4 separate regions of the Mus musculus genome follow, and regions 2, 3 and 4 are each reported to be linked to region 1. Evidence: microRNA targets listed by miRTarBase, many of them from high-throughput screens and not tested one by one. Region 1 holds a microRNA gene; each other region holds the end of a gene's coding sequence.

Evidence for each region. The annotated mature microRNA mmu-miR-146a-5p reads UGAGAACUGAAUUCCAUGGGUU and lies in region 1 at 979-1,000, shown strand. An mRNA with a match to its seed (bases 2 to 7 or 8) in the 3' UTR can be bound and repressed. Matches are read on the target gene's strand: a 7mer-m8 pairs with bases 2 to 8, a 7mer-A1 pairs with bases 2 to 7 and ends in A, and an 8mer does both.
Region 2: miRTarBase lists Irak1 as a target of mmu-miR-146a-5p. Seed matches in the 3' UTR shown: 8mer at 2,556-2,563, 8mer at 2,540-2,547 and 7mer-A1 at 2,450-2,456.
Region 3: miRTarBase lists Rc3h1 as a target of mmu-miR-146a-5p. The part of its 3' UTR that is shown has no 7-base or 8-base seed match.
Region 4: miRTarBase lists Tgif1 as a target of mmu-miR-146a-5p. Seed matches in the 3' UTR shown: 7mer-m8 at 270-276.

Annotation. Positions count from the first base shown.
Region 1 is chr11:43,372,252-43,375,434 of GRCm38, reverse strand. Mir146 (microRNA 146) reads left to right here and starts at 974; the gene lies at 974-1,038.
Region 2 is chrX:74,012,838-74,015,987 of GRCm38, forward strand. It overlaps Irak1 (interleukin-1 receptor-associated kinase 1), which reads right to left. Exons shown (of 15, transcript NM_001177973.1): 15 at 1,077-2,664. The coding sequence ends at 2,603. Among named protein-coding and RNA genes, the nearest start is that of Mir5132, 9.2 kb to the right of the region's middle.
Region 3 is chr1:160,967,275-160,970,457 of GRCm38, reverse strand. It overlaps Rc3h1 (RING CCCH (C3H) domains 1), which reads right to left. Exons shown (of 20, transcript NM_001024952.2): 20 at 1-2,811. The coding sequence ends at 2,661. Among named protein-coding and RNA genes, the nearest start is that of Serpinc1, 9.7 kb to the left of the region's middle.
Region 4 is chr17:70,841,784-70,844,946 of GRCm38, reverse strand. It overlaps Tgif1 (TGFB-induced factor homeobox 1), which reads left to right. Exons shown (of 3, transcript NM_009372.3): 3 at 1-742. The coding sequence ends at 250. Among named protein-coding and RNA genes, the nearest start is that of Gm41610, 2.1 kb to the right of the region's middle.

The DNA of each region.
Region 1 (3,183 bases):
CACTAGCATGGGCTCTGCCCCTGTGAAAATATAGTCTTGTTTGGGAGATAGTATTTATCAACAATGACATCAAAGGCTCTATCAATTAGTTTATAACTATGAAGGGAAGGATTGAACATGACACAGGAGAATGGCAGGTATCACTGGGGAACGGAGACGAGGTATTAGTGAGGCTATTACACTCAATGATTCTAACAGATGCCTAAATAGCAGTGGCTTGAAAAGGGGAAGGTCCTGCTCTTGCTGACGTGAAGAAATACAGTTTCAAAGATCATCTAGTGCCATGCCCTGCCCTATCATGGGTGGTGCATGGCCCACATTGCATGGTGTGGGTGCAGCTGTACTGTGCGCTCTGTCTCCATGTAGAACTGGGTCACTCTAGGAAATGGGGCCTTTGTGCCAGGAGTGTGTGTACACGGTGTGTGGGGGGGAGGGGTGGTGGGTTCGGTGAACACAGAAGAGACACAGGGTGACAATCCAGTCATCTCTGCTATTGATGGTCTTGCTGAGGAGGTGATTCAGTAGGTGAGAGCCTCAGGAGGAATAGGCGTTGAGGGCAGTTTTCCAGGCCAGGGGCACATGTATGAGGGCACAGTGGGGACGGAAAGACCATCTGTCATGTTCCTGATTGCTTTTGAGAAAATCTTGCTACGTACTTCAGGCTGCCCTTGGACCAGCAGTCCTCTTGATGCACCTTCTTCTTCGCTGGGATTATGGGGTGGCCTCAAACTGACATTTCTCCTGCTGCAGGCTCATGAATGTTGAGATTACAGGCTTGCACCACATGCCCAGCATGTTTAATGATTGCTTATGAACTTGCCTATCTTGTGTCCCAGATCCTTATGCATCAAGAGTGTCCAGTCTGCAGAGGCCGTGCTTTTGGATTTATCAGAGATTTCTCTTGTGTTTTTACAGGGCTGGCAGGATCTGGCCTGGGAGGAAGGCCTCATCTGGAGAGTCTGTGTGTATCCCCAGCTCTGAGAACTGAATTCCATGGGTTATATCAATGTCAGACCTGTGAAATTCAGTTCTTCAGCTGGGATAGCTCTGTCATCACGGACCTGAAGAACACTGGTTGGAACAAACTCTGAAGGCCTTCATAGTCTGCCAAGGAACTTGAAGAGTGGAGAGAGTGGGGTGAAGCGTGGAACTGCTGGCACCGGAGGGAGTCATGTTGGATTGATGTGTGTTCTAATTTCATTTCTGTTGCTCTGATAAAATATCTTGACAAAAACAATTTAGGGGAGAAAGGGTTTATTAGATTATAATTCCAGGTCACAGCTGATCATTATAGGGAAGACAAAGTAGGAACTTGAAGCAGCTCGTCTCATACATCGTCAAGAAGAAAAAGAGAGCCAAACATTGTGGCACATACCTTCACTCCAAGAAATTTGGAAGCAGAGGCAGGTGGCTCTCTGGTAGGCCAGCCTGATGTACAGAGCAAGTTCCAGGCTAGCCAGAGCTATATAGTGAGATTGTGTCTCAACAAAGAGGAAAAAAATAGAGAAAAAATATATATGCTTACTTGTACTTGACCCCCTCTCTACACTTAAAGAGTCTAGGATCACCTGCCTAGGGAATGATGCTGCCTACAGTGGGCTTGGATCTTCCTATGCCAATTAATATAATCAATATATCCATCCACAGATATACATAGGTCAACCTGATCGAGATGATCCCTCACTAACACTCTTTCTAAATGATCCAAGATTGTGTCAGGTTGACAGTGCTAAGCAATATAGTATGGCAATTCCTCCTCCGGTTGGGAAAAGCGAAGCATCCTATAAATAGCCTCACTGAGTGGTTCTTGCTGCTGTGACTCTTGTTTACATTTCCATGATTTAGGATGAGTCAGGTATGAAGGGGACTAAGTGCTATGCATGCTGTTATAGGAGACTCATGGGAAACACCACTTTAATGAAGCTTGAGAGACACAGGATTGCCAAGCAGTGATTTCCCAGTCTCTTTATGGGACCAGATGGAATTAATTGTATGTGGCAATTATCCTTTAGCATGGTCTGCTGAGGTGTTTGGCTGCTTTTTCAGATATGTAGCAAAAAAGGATAAAGAACACATCCTTCTTATAGCCCCTCATCCCTTTTATTTGAACCTGTGCTTTCTTGCCTACTTTAAGCAAACAAGGGGTAGAGTGTTCTTTTGTACCTCCAAACAAGACAAAAGAAGTTGTAATTACACTCCACTGTAACTGACAGTTTCTTCCAGGGATGAGGATTAAGAAGCCTTAGAAAGTCTATTTGGACATATAGTCTATTAAATGATGGGGCTCAGGTCCTTGTAGAGAGGCAATAAAGACCTCTGTCACCAAGCATGTTGGGTCTCTTCTGAGAGTTGGGCTTGATTTGCTGCTGCTGATTATCTGGACTTTATTAAGCTTTTGAATTAGTGGGGAATTAGGAATGTGCCCTGTGCTTTGGGAACTCCTCTTTGACTCATCACTACGTCTTGGTGTCCTGGGATTTCCTTCTTACTCTTGTCTCTGAATGAAAAGAGAGGGAGGTAGCATGAGATGGGGGACTGTACAGCACCCACATGCTCAGTCTTTCAACTGAGGAACGTAGGTGTTTACTGTGCATCGACTCCTAAATCCAGGGCTTTGCCTATACGATCTCAGTGAATCTTACCAAGCCTCATCTCCATAATATAGACACATCAACAAAAGGATTTTTTCCCCTGTTATTATGATAAAATGGCCTGGCAAAAATAATGGTTGATTTTGGCTCACAGTTCAAGGGTATTGTTCATCATGGAGGAAGTCATAGCATGAGAAGCTTGAGAGCTGCTGGCCACATGACCTCGGCAGACAAGCCGTGGAGAGCAGCAGATGCGCACAGCTCACTTTCTCCTTTGCATGAAGTCCAGGACACTACCCAGGGAAGGGTGCCACCCTACTTTATGGTGGCTCTTCTTACATCAATTAACTTAATCACCTCACAGGCATCCTCCAGGGGTAACTCGATCTAAATAACCCCTCCTAGGGATAATTGGAGCTATGTCTTCTAGATAATTTCAGATCTTGTCAAGTTGATACCAAAGAGCTATGGTTGTCAAATTAAAAAATCCGAACCAGACTCAATGGGAAATCTTCAGCCATAGTAGCCAGAGAAGCAAATCTATGCCTTGCTCAGTCATTATCAGAGAAGCTTCCTGTTCCAGAAGATGGAA
Region 2 (3,150 bases), not on the chromosome of region 1:
TCATTAGCAAAGAATCCTTCATCACATGTCCTTTCATGTGCTTGCTTTAGCAGAACACCCTCTTCTGTGTTTGCTTCAGTGAAACGTTCCTTCACGAGTCCGCCTTAACCTTTCACCTGTGTCCACTCTAAGGAATTGTTCATCTGTTTGCCCAGCAAAAACATCATCCAACTGACTTTTCAAAGAACCCTTAAGTTTCCACTTCAAGTTTGTGTAGATATTGCTCCCCATTTATTTTCTTATTTGTCAATAAAAACTAAGCACCCAAGAAGAGGAATAGGGTGGGAGGGACTCTGCCAGCCAGAGGGAGAGCAGAGAGTGAGAGGGGAAGGGAAGACTGGGTCATGAGGAGAGGGTGGAAAACACTATGAAAAAACATCTGAAGCAGAGAGAGCCAGATCAATACTAAAATTGCAAGTATGGGGATTTTGGGTCAGAGGTAGCCAGATTATTTTAAGAGAAATACAATAGGTTAATAACTGCTCAGCTAATGTGCTGTAAAGCTTATAAAATAAACCTTATAGTCCGTCTCATTTATTTGGGAGGCAACTGGGAATAGAGAAAATGTATCACTTTTAAAATTGCACTTACAGAATTCAGCAAAACAAACAAAAACAGAACATGTGGCAACCAAGCCAGAATATGCATCTAGCTTAACATTTCAAAACCAATGTGACCACTGCATGAACAGAATGAAAATAAATTCTGTTTATCTCAATAGACTCAGTAGCATCATTTGAAATATTCTGTAACTCCTCTTTCAATTCCACCTTTACAAGAAAAATAACAATGATGTTTATTTTCTTTTTCTTTAATAGAACAAACATAGATTTGTTAAGAAAAGTGAGAAAAACTCCTGAGAGTGGGTGGGGTTTCCCACTTGTATTCAAAACTTATAGGCCCTAGCCAATGCAATAAATGAAGAAAAAAAAAGTCAAGTTGGGTATGGTAGAGCATGCCTTGTCAGAGGCAGGTAGACCTCTGGAGTTCAAGGCCAGTCTGGTCTACATATCAAGATCAAGGACAGTCAGGGCTATATAGTTAGTTCTAAAAAGAAAAGAAAATTAAAAGGCATATAGGTTGGCAATGGAGTAAAATTATCTTTATTTTCAGATAGGTTGATTGTATACAAACTATCTCAGAGTAATCACCCCCAAAACAAGTGGGGCTAAGAAGTAAGGCCACAGAATAAAGATCAGGATCAAAACTTAATGAAATTTCTATATATGATTGATGAATAATTCAGACATGAAGGCTTCAATTCCAATAGCATCAATATCCACGAAATCTGCAAGACAAGAAAGCAAGGGGATCTATCCCCAGTCTGGCCTGACAAGAGAAAAGAACAAATGCTAGGGGCCTGAGTTTTGGGTGGACACTTAAGAGCCCAGAGATATAAAGCATTAGGAAAGCATAACACTTTTAGCACAACAAATTCCACAAGTTTAACCAGACAGTGAAATGTATGCTTTTATTACTCAAGGACAAATTGGATGTCACCAATTACACAGGGGCATGTAGTGTGACTCATGACTCAAACACAGAATCACTGTAAGCCTGGGCTATAGCCCTGGGCTACTTGTGAAGACACTTAATTATACAAAAACTTGTTGTTTTTTTTTTAAATGTAACATTCTTCCCCCTCAAATACTTAGCTTTGCTCTCAGTTTCTTCTTTCTTGGGGCTTCTCACTGTCTGGGTACCACAAAGCTGGGCTTTGCTGGACCTTTCTGCCATAAGCAGAACCTTGGGCATCCACAGTCAATTTGCAGGGTATAGAGAGAGCCTGCCTAGGCAGGCAGGTAGTCATATGAAACTAGCTCACTGCTATCTGGCAAGGCTTGCATATATCCACCCAAGATGGGGAGGGGGGTTTTATTAGACTCTTGGGAGAATCTCAGAGTGCTCACTTCTAGCTAGTGGACTGAACTGTAAGACACTCTTTTTTTTTTTTTTTTTTTTTTTTTTGCAATTTACAAGCACAACAGCTACTTTCGCTTGGTGTTTTAGGGAAGTTCTGAGGAATAGACTCACAGACTGCAGATATATTATCTAGCTCTCAGGGGAGCTAGCTCCCACCATACAAACAGACCTACTTGTGTCCTCTGGGCCTGTGTAGCTAGCAGTCTTCTGTTTTTTTTTTTTAAAGATTTATTTATTATATATAAGTACACTGTAGCTGTCTTCAGACACTCCAGAAGAGGGCGTCAGATCTTGTTACAGATGGTTGTGAGCCACCATGTGGTTGCTGGGATTTGAACTCCGGACCTTTGGAAGAGCAATCGGGTGCTCATACCCACTGAGCCATCTCACCAGCCCCAGTCTTCTGTTTTGTACTACCCAATTCCTTAGGTACTCTGCTTGCCTTGCTCACAAATGCTGGCCTCACATTGCCTGCCTTATCAGCTTCTATCAAGTTCTTTGGCTGGCCCTGTCTGTGTTCACATTCTGAGAACAGCAGGGTCCACTGCCCTCTCTCCTTTGCCAGAGTGAGCCCCCACACCTGATGCCTTTGGGCTACTGAGGAGTTTGCACACTATGAGAACTTCCAAGCATGAGAACTTTGACCTCTGAGTCTGAGGGATTTGTCAGAGTGAACAAATCAGCTCTGGAATTCATCACTTTCTTCAGGTCCCTGGCTCTTTTCAGGTTCTAAATCCAAGCCTATGGAAAAGAAAATATCACTTAATAAGTTGGGGACAACTTCTTGTCTTTCAAATACCCTGACATGAACCATGAGCACAGAACTTTGTGGGCCCCCTCCCACTCCAAACTGAGCATGTGGGAAGGAGACTGGAACTCAGGGCACTTCGCTTGCTAAGCAAATGCTCTACAACTGAGCTAATTCCCTACCCCACCCCACCTTTTTCTCACAGGGTTTTTTTGTCTGTTGCCCTGGCTATCCTGGAACTTGCTCTGTAGACCAAGCTGGCCCCAAACTTGCCTGTTTCTGCCTCCCAAGTGCTGGGATTAAAGGCATGCGTTACCACTGCCCAGCTCAGGGCAGTCTTTGGAGCCAAGGTTTTCTTTATACCTTTAGTTTGCTTTTTGAAAATAAGATTTTTCCTTTTATATGTGTGTTTCTACGTGAGTTTTAAATACACCATGTATATACAAAGTATATACATGTATATACAAAGGTATCTGCGG
Region 3 (3,183 bases), not on the chromosome of region 1:
CCCAACCCAGACTGGCTATAGAGAGGGGCTTGGGGAACTCATACTACCATTTAAAAGACTAATTTTCTCCCTAAATAAAAATATACCTAAAAGGATACTAGTGCACCGCAGCAGAGTACATTTTGGGGGTCTCATACACACTACAATGAAAATTTACTTTTATTCTTAACTCCAAGAAAACCAATATGCAGATTTCCCCCTAGTTATTCCAATTTTAAAAACAACAACAACAAAAACCCATCTGCTTCTAAGACTTAGGAATTATCTTGAAATGTCCAAAGGAGGTAAGACCCACCCAAATCTGTCTACTGAAGGCAAGAGGCCAATAATGTGGCGTTTTATAGATATGCAGAAAAATAAAAATCCTGTCAGGCATAACATTTCTCTCCTCATCTCAATAAATAATGAGTAAAGTATAAATGTAAGAGTCATTTTATCTTAAAAAAAAAAGTCCAAAAAAAGCAAATGTACAAATGTGTATTTAAAATTAAAAGGAAAATGTATGCATCAACTGAGAAATGCCTCACCGTCATTCGGTGCCTCTACCTCCCAATCAGTCATCTTATTGCAACAGCTGCGCTCATGCGAAGAAATCTTTAAAACATACCCGATATATATACAGATATAGCCATGTATATATGTATATATATAATATATATATAAATTTTTATTTAAATAAAAAAGAAAGCTCGAATCCCAAGCCAATATGTGTATATCAAATCCTTGACCAGCCAGGTCTGTAGGGCATAATCAAATTCAATGTGAAATAGTATATAAACACGGTGCCTTGACTGGGCAAATTAAATAATCGCTACTCAAATGAGTGTTCTGTTTGGATTTCCTACTGGTAGGCAATGGCAGGACTATTTTTCCCTTCCCACCCCTCCCACTCTTATCCCACCCCCACCCACTTGTTTCAATTAACAAGATGATGGACACAGAGCTTAGACTGAGGTGACGCAGACCTCAGCAGAGTTAAGGGTTCAGGAAATAGAAATAAGAAAAATATAAACGTTTGCTTTTACCCAACCAAAGCAATGCAGTAACTTATTACATAACCAGTGCTTTCTTGTTTTGTAGCATCATCTAGAAAGGGAAACTGACGTCAGGCAATCAGAGGGATGGAGTGATTCTACGAAACATTGCCTTGCTGAACTCATTTTAGAGGGGCTTAGTAAATTAAGCAAACAGTGGTTAGCATTAGAATATGTGCAGCAGAACTAAATAAAAATTCTTCCTCACTCTTCAACTTTTTCATAAACATTTTTAATGTCAGAAAGCCAGGTCTATAAAAACTCACTTCAAGTTATTTATAGTTATTCTAGTAATTCTGATTACTGACAAGTGACCAAAGCATGAACTACCCTGAAGACTCAGTCAGTTTCTATCTGCCAAATCTTTAACGCTTTTGAAAGGAAAACAAAAATTCCATTGAAATAATATGTCCTTGTTTACTGAAGCTCCTATCGAGTGTTAAGTTTTATTTTAATTAAAAAATTTTCTTCATTGTGTCTGGTGTCCACAAGGGCCAGAAAAGGGTGTCATGTCCCTGAAAGTGGAACTGGGAGACACCCTGCAGGTGCTGCCAAGAACCCGGGAGAGCAGCCGGTGCTCTTCTGCTGAGCCGGCTCCCAGCTTTAGAGTATGGTTCACTGTCCTGGTTTTTCTATTCTAGGGTTTCAAGACAAGTTTAATTTGTAAACACAGCTCGAATTTTCCAACATGAGCTCCACATAGGAGAACAGGAAATGCCTATTTTCACTATTAACAAGCTGAAGTTCATTTCTTTTCTTCTTATTCTGTTTTTTCCTGCCTCAACATCTTGAGGCCAGGGATTACAGGAATGAGCCATTATATCCAATTCAGAGTTCATTCTTAAAATAAAATAATCTTCATTTAAATCTAACTAAACATTGTAAACACTAAATAGGCTTTCAGATTTTAAGGAGATAATGCAAGGAATGCTTGACACCAAAATGTGGCTCAAACAATCAACTGCATGTTGACATCTCTGAAAAGTTGAAACTAAAACCATATCCACTCAAATAAACTTTTAATGTTGTAAAAAACAAGTATCTATCCACAGAGCTAGTGATCCAGAAACAGGGCTGGGGTTAAAGAATAGCTCTAATAAAATTAGTTTGCTGCACAGTTTCTAATAACCCAATCTATTACCACAGAATTCTTGGAAACGGTGCATTTTTGTCTATTTTAGTTTACAGGGTTGTGAGAGTTGGAAAGGACTGGGGAAAAGGAATTATACACTGGGTATGTAATAATACCAAAATACAAGAAAAACCTACTTCATTAAGATCATACAATTAATCAAACAGAGTGTATATATAATATCTTCTTTTTTTTTAAAGCCCCGGATCCAAGGCGTCCAAAGTTATTAAAATAAAGTTCATTCACAGAACAAAAACAAATTTAATCTGAATTGCTTGCAGATACTGCTAATTTTTTTTTCTTAAAATTAAAAAAATGCATCAATGTGAACTATGTGCAGGTTTGTTTAGTAGTGGTGTTTGTGCACATTGCCTCCGGTGCTTTTCCTGGACTTCACTGACCACTCAGAGAAAAAGTTTAGAAGTTATCCATTTTTCTATCCCTATGCCCCATGAACTGATTAGGAGCAGAAGGTAGAAGCAGGTGCCCATATTCTAGGGAGCAGAATTGGAAACAACTCCTGATCTCTGGGAATCATTGTTATCTCCTCCTCCCTCAGAGTCTTCTGACAGATTCAAAGAGCTGGTCTTGTTTGATAGGAGGCTGAGATTCTCTTGTGTCAAGGCTGATCCATTTGGTACATCACTGTAAATTACATGAAAAAATAGTTGGAATTTATAGAAAGAGAAAAGCAATTACTCTAAATAAAATCCAATCAATAGGGCTTATTATTTAGCACTGTAGAAAAACATGAGGCTGGAGTAGAGCACATGCCTTTAGTTCAAGCAGAAGGCAGAAGCAGCTGGTCTTTATCAGTTTTAGGTTAGATTGGTTCCAGGCCAACCAAGGCTAGCTACACAATGAGACTGTCTCAAACAGCCAAAATAAAAATAACTACATAAATAGCTTCCAAATATTGATTCTAACTCCTCATCCACACTGTAGCATAGATGATAAACTAAAACTGACAAGCTTCCTACTCTATACGTATAGGTTATAGCAGAACACAACCTGCAT
Region 4 (3,163 bases), not on the chromosome of region 1:
GCCGATTGGTGTGGGACAGAGTACAGATGTACCGCAAATAGCACCCAGCAACTTTACAGACACCTCTCTCGTGTACCCAGAGGACACTTGCAAATCTGGACCCAGTCCAAACCCTCAGAGTGGTCTTTTCAACACTCCTCCCCCTACTCCACCAGACCTCAACCAGGATTTTAGTGGATTCCAGCTTCTAGTGGATGTTGCACTCAAACGAGCGGCAGAGATGGAGCTTCAGGCCAAACTCACAGCTTAACCGTTTTTTCAAACAAAACAGTTCTCCAAAATACGGTCCTGATTGCCGGGGGTGATGGCAAGAGATGCATTATTTTATATATTTTTCTATTAATATTTGCACATGGGATTGCTCAGACGAAGCTTCCTGTTACTAAGATGTCTTAAGTGGAATAGAGTCATTCCAAGAACTACAAACTAAAGCTACTGTAGAAACAAAGGGTTTTCTTTTCGAATGTTTCTTGGTAGTTTCTCATAATGTGAGACGGTTCCCAGTATCATGTGATCTTCTCCTCCAGACTCCTCTTCTTTATGTTCCAAGACTGTGCAATACTTTAGACGCCCTCGCACCTCTCTCTTCCCATGTGGAATGGGACGCCCACCTACAGTCTAATGAGTAAACTTTCAGTTTTTTGTTTGTTTGTTTTTTTTTAGATTCAAGCAAGTATGAATCTAGTTGTTGGATACCTTTTTTCATGATGTAATAAAGTATTTTCTTTAAAAGTTATTGCAATGAAGAGCATTTTCTTGAAGGAAGCAATCAGAACACAGTAGGAATATAGGAAATGGGGGCAGGGCAGACTGATTTAGGTTGTGTGTGTGTGTGTGTGTGTGTGTGTGTCACTGCTTTGAAGAGCTGTGGACGGCAAACCACTGTGAATAATCCGGGTGGGTGAGATTTCCTCTTGATTGGAGGGTGAGTTTGCCCCTCAGTCTTTGCTTACAGATGAATGGCAGATAGTAGTGAGGTATCCGCATCAATTCATGATGACATCAGTAGTGAGGTCACCAGCAGTGAGCTGCTGTGTATTTCAGAAGGGCCCACGCTGAGTTTATCTTAAACTCTCCAAGGTTGTAAGTTTGACTGTTGCGGCATGTGCAAGTATGGTCTGTTAGGATAGAAAGTTACTTGCAAAGCCTGGTTGCCCAGGAGGGAACCGGTTGTCGCATGCCTCAGAATCATTCCTACAAAGCCATGCTTGCTGTGAGGCTCCTTTGTTGTTGAAGGCCTGTCCTGTGCTTTCCTGCCGCAGCTAAGAAGCCAAGGTGCACTACAGCTTCTGGACGGCGGTTTTAGAGAGTAGGACATTCTTGCACACTGAAGTTTGCCTAAATGTGAAAGTCTCTGCTCCAGAAAAAAAGAACACTCAAACAAAAGTTGGTAAGTGACACAGAAGACCCAGAGGGTGTACGGAAGTGAAGGGAAGGTGCCAGAGGGTGGCTTGGCCGTAGTACAAATGAAGGTGGGTAAAGAATTATGTTCACTTCAAAGCTGGATCAAAGGTCACAGCCACACACTGCTATAAATCCTGATGGCCTACCCATGTTAAGCGCTTGCTCACATTAAAAGAAAAAACCCCAAAATAACAAGAGCTGGGGAAGGAGTCAACTCAGGCCTAGAGGAATGCACAAGGCCCTGGCAAAGAGGCAAAAATCAAGGTTGAGGGCACTTTTCCTCCTCTGAGTTGAGGGATCCTGGTTCTCAGTGACCAGATAGTAAATAGAAACCATTGTTCTACAAGGTGTAACTCAAAAGCTGCCATATCAGCTGGGCAGGGACGCACACCCGCAATCGCAGCAGGCCAGGGCAATCAGACCGCCGCTGAAACGAGAGATCTGCTACTTCATGAGAGATTCAGATTTAAAACAAAATTATTCGTGGGGCTGAGGAGTCTTCCATTTAAGGGTGCTTGCCTAGCATGTGGGTCTGTCCTCCCAGTACATAAACTGGGCAAAGTGGCACATCCCTGTAACCCAAACCCATGTTCAAAGTTATACCCTGTTCCATGTGAGCTTGGCCAGCCTGGGCTACTTAAAACACTGTCTCACACTGAAGGGAAAGAATTCTTTTGTGTCTACTGTTTTTATGGTATAACTTTTTGTTTGTTTACTTTTAAACTCCCTGTGTTTAAATACCTTCTTTTCGGGCATATTTAACTGGGTTTTTCATTTAGTCTCTGCTTTCGAGTCACTTTGTTTAGTCACTTTACACCTTATACAGTTTCAGCACCAAGCCCAGCTATCTCTTGATGAATTTGTAGTCCATGTACGTATGGTTTTCCCCTGCCTTTGTATTCCTCCGTTTTTTCCTCATTTTAGTTTAATTAGTATTTTCTAGTATTTTTTCTTCAGTTTTTATTTTCAGTCATGGTTAGTTTAATTGTTGTGTGTTTTTTTTTTTTTTTTTTTTTTTTTTTTTTTTTTTTTTGTCTTGTCTCACTAAATAGACCATGCTGGCCTTGAACTCACAGAGTTCTCTTCCTCCCAAGCTCTAGAATCAAAGGCATTTTCTACTCCACCCAGCCACCCAGCCATACTGTTAATTCTGAGTGGTTGTAGGGACAAGAACGCGTGCCTTTAGTTATTCAAGTCTCCGGTGAAGAAGGTCTCTTCACTTTCCCCCTTTGCTTTTGTGAGTCTGTTCAAATAAACATGTCTCTACACAATAAACTCAATCATACAGATAAAAGTTTTGCTTAAAAACAAGCAAACTCAGCTTGGTTGGTCTGGCTTGGCAGAACTTGCCTTTAATCCTAGCAGTAGGCAGGTAGAGGCAGGGGGATCATTGTGACTTCAAGCCAGTCAGGGCTACATAGTGAGACCCTCTCTCAAAACATGAGCTTTGTGGGAGACTCTGTGTATGTGTGCGTGTGTGTGTGTGTGTGTGTGTGTGTGTGTGTGTGTGTGTGTGTTTAGCATTTCTGGTGCCTTCCATTCTTTCCTGTAGACTCAAGTGACATCTAGTGTCATACCTTGTAAGCTTGGAGAACCCCCCAGAGGAGTGTAGTGTGAAATGATTCCGTGGAAAGCAAGCTTGCCGCACCTAAGCTCAGTTCTCGGGGCCCACCTGCGGAGAGAATATTTATTGAACTTTGATTTTCCTTTGGTCTTGGAAGGGTGACCCCCTTTTGGAGAATTTCAGGTTGGTGCCTTC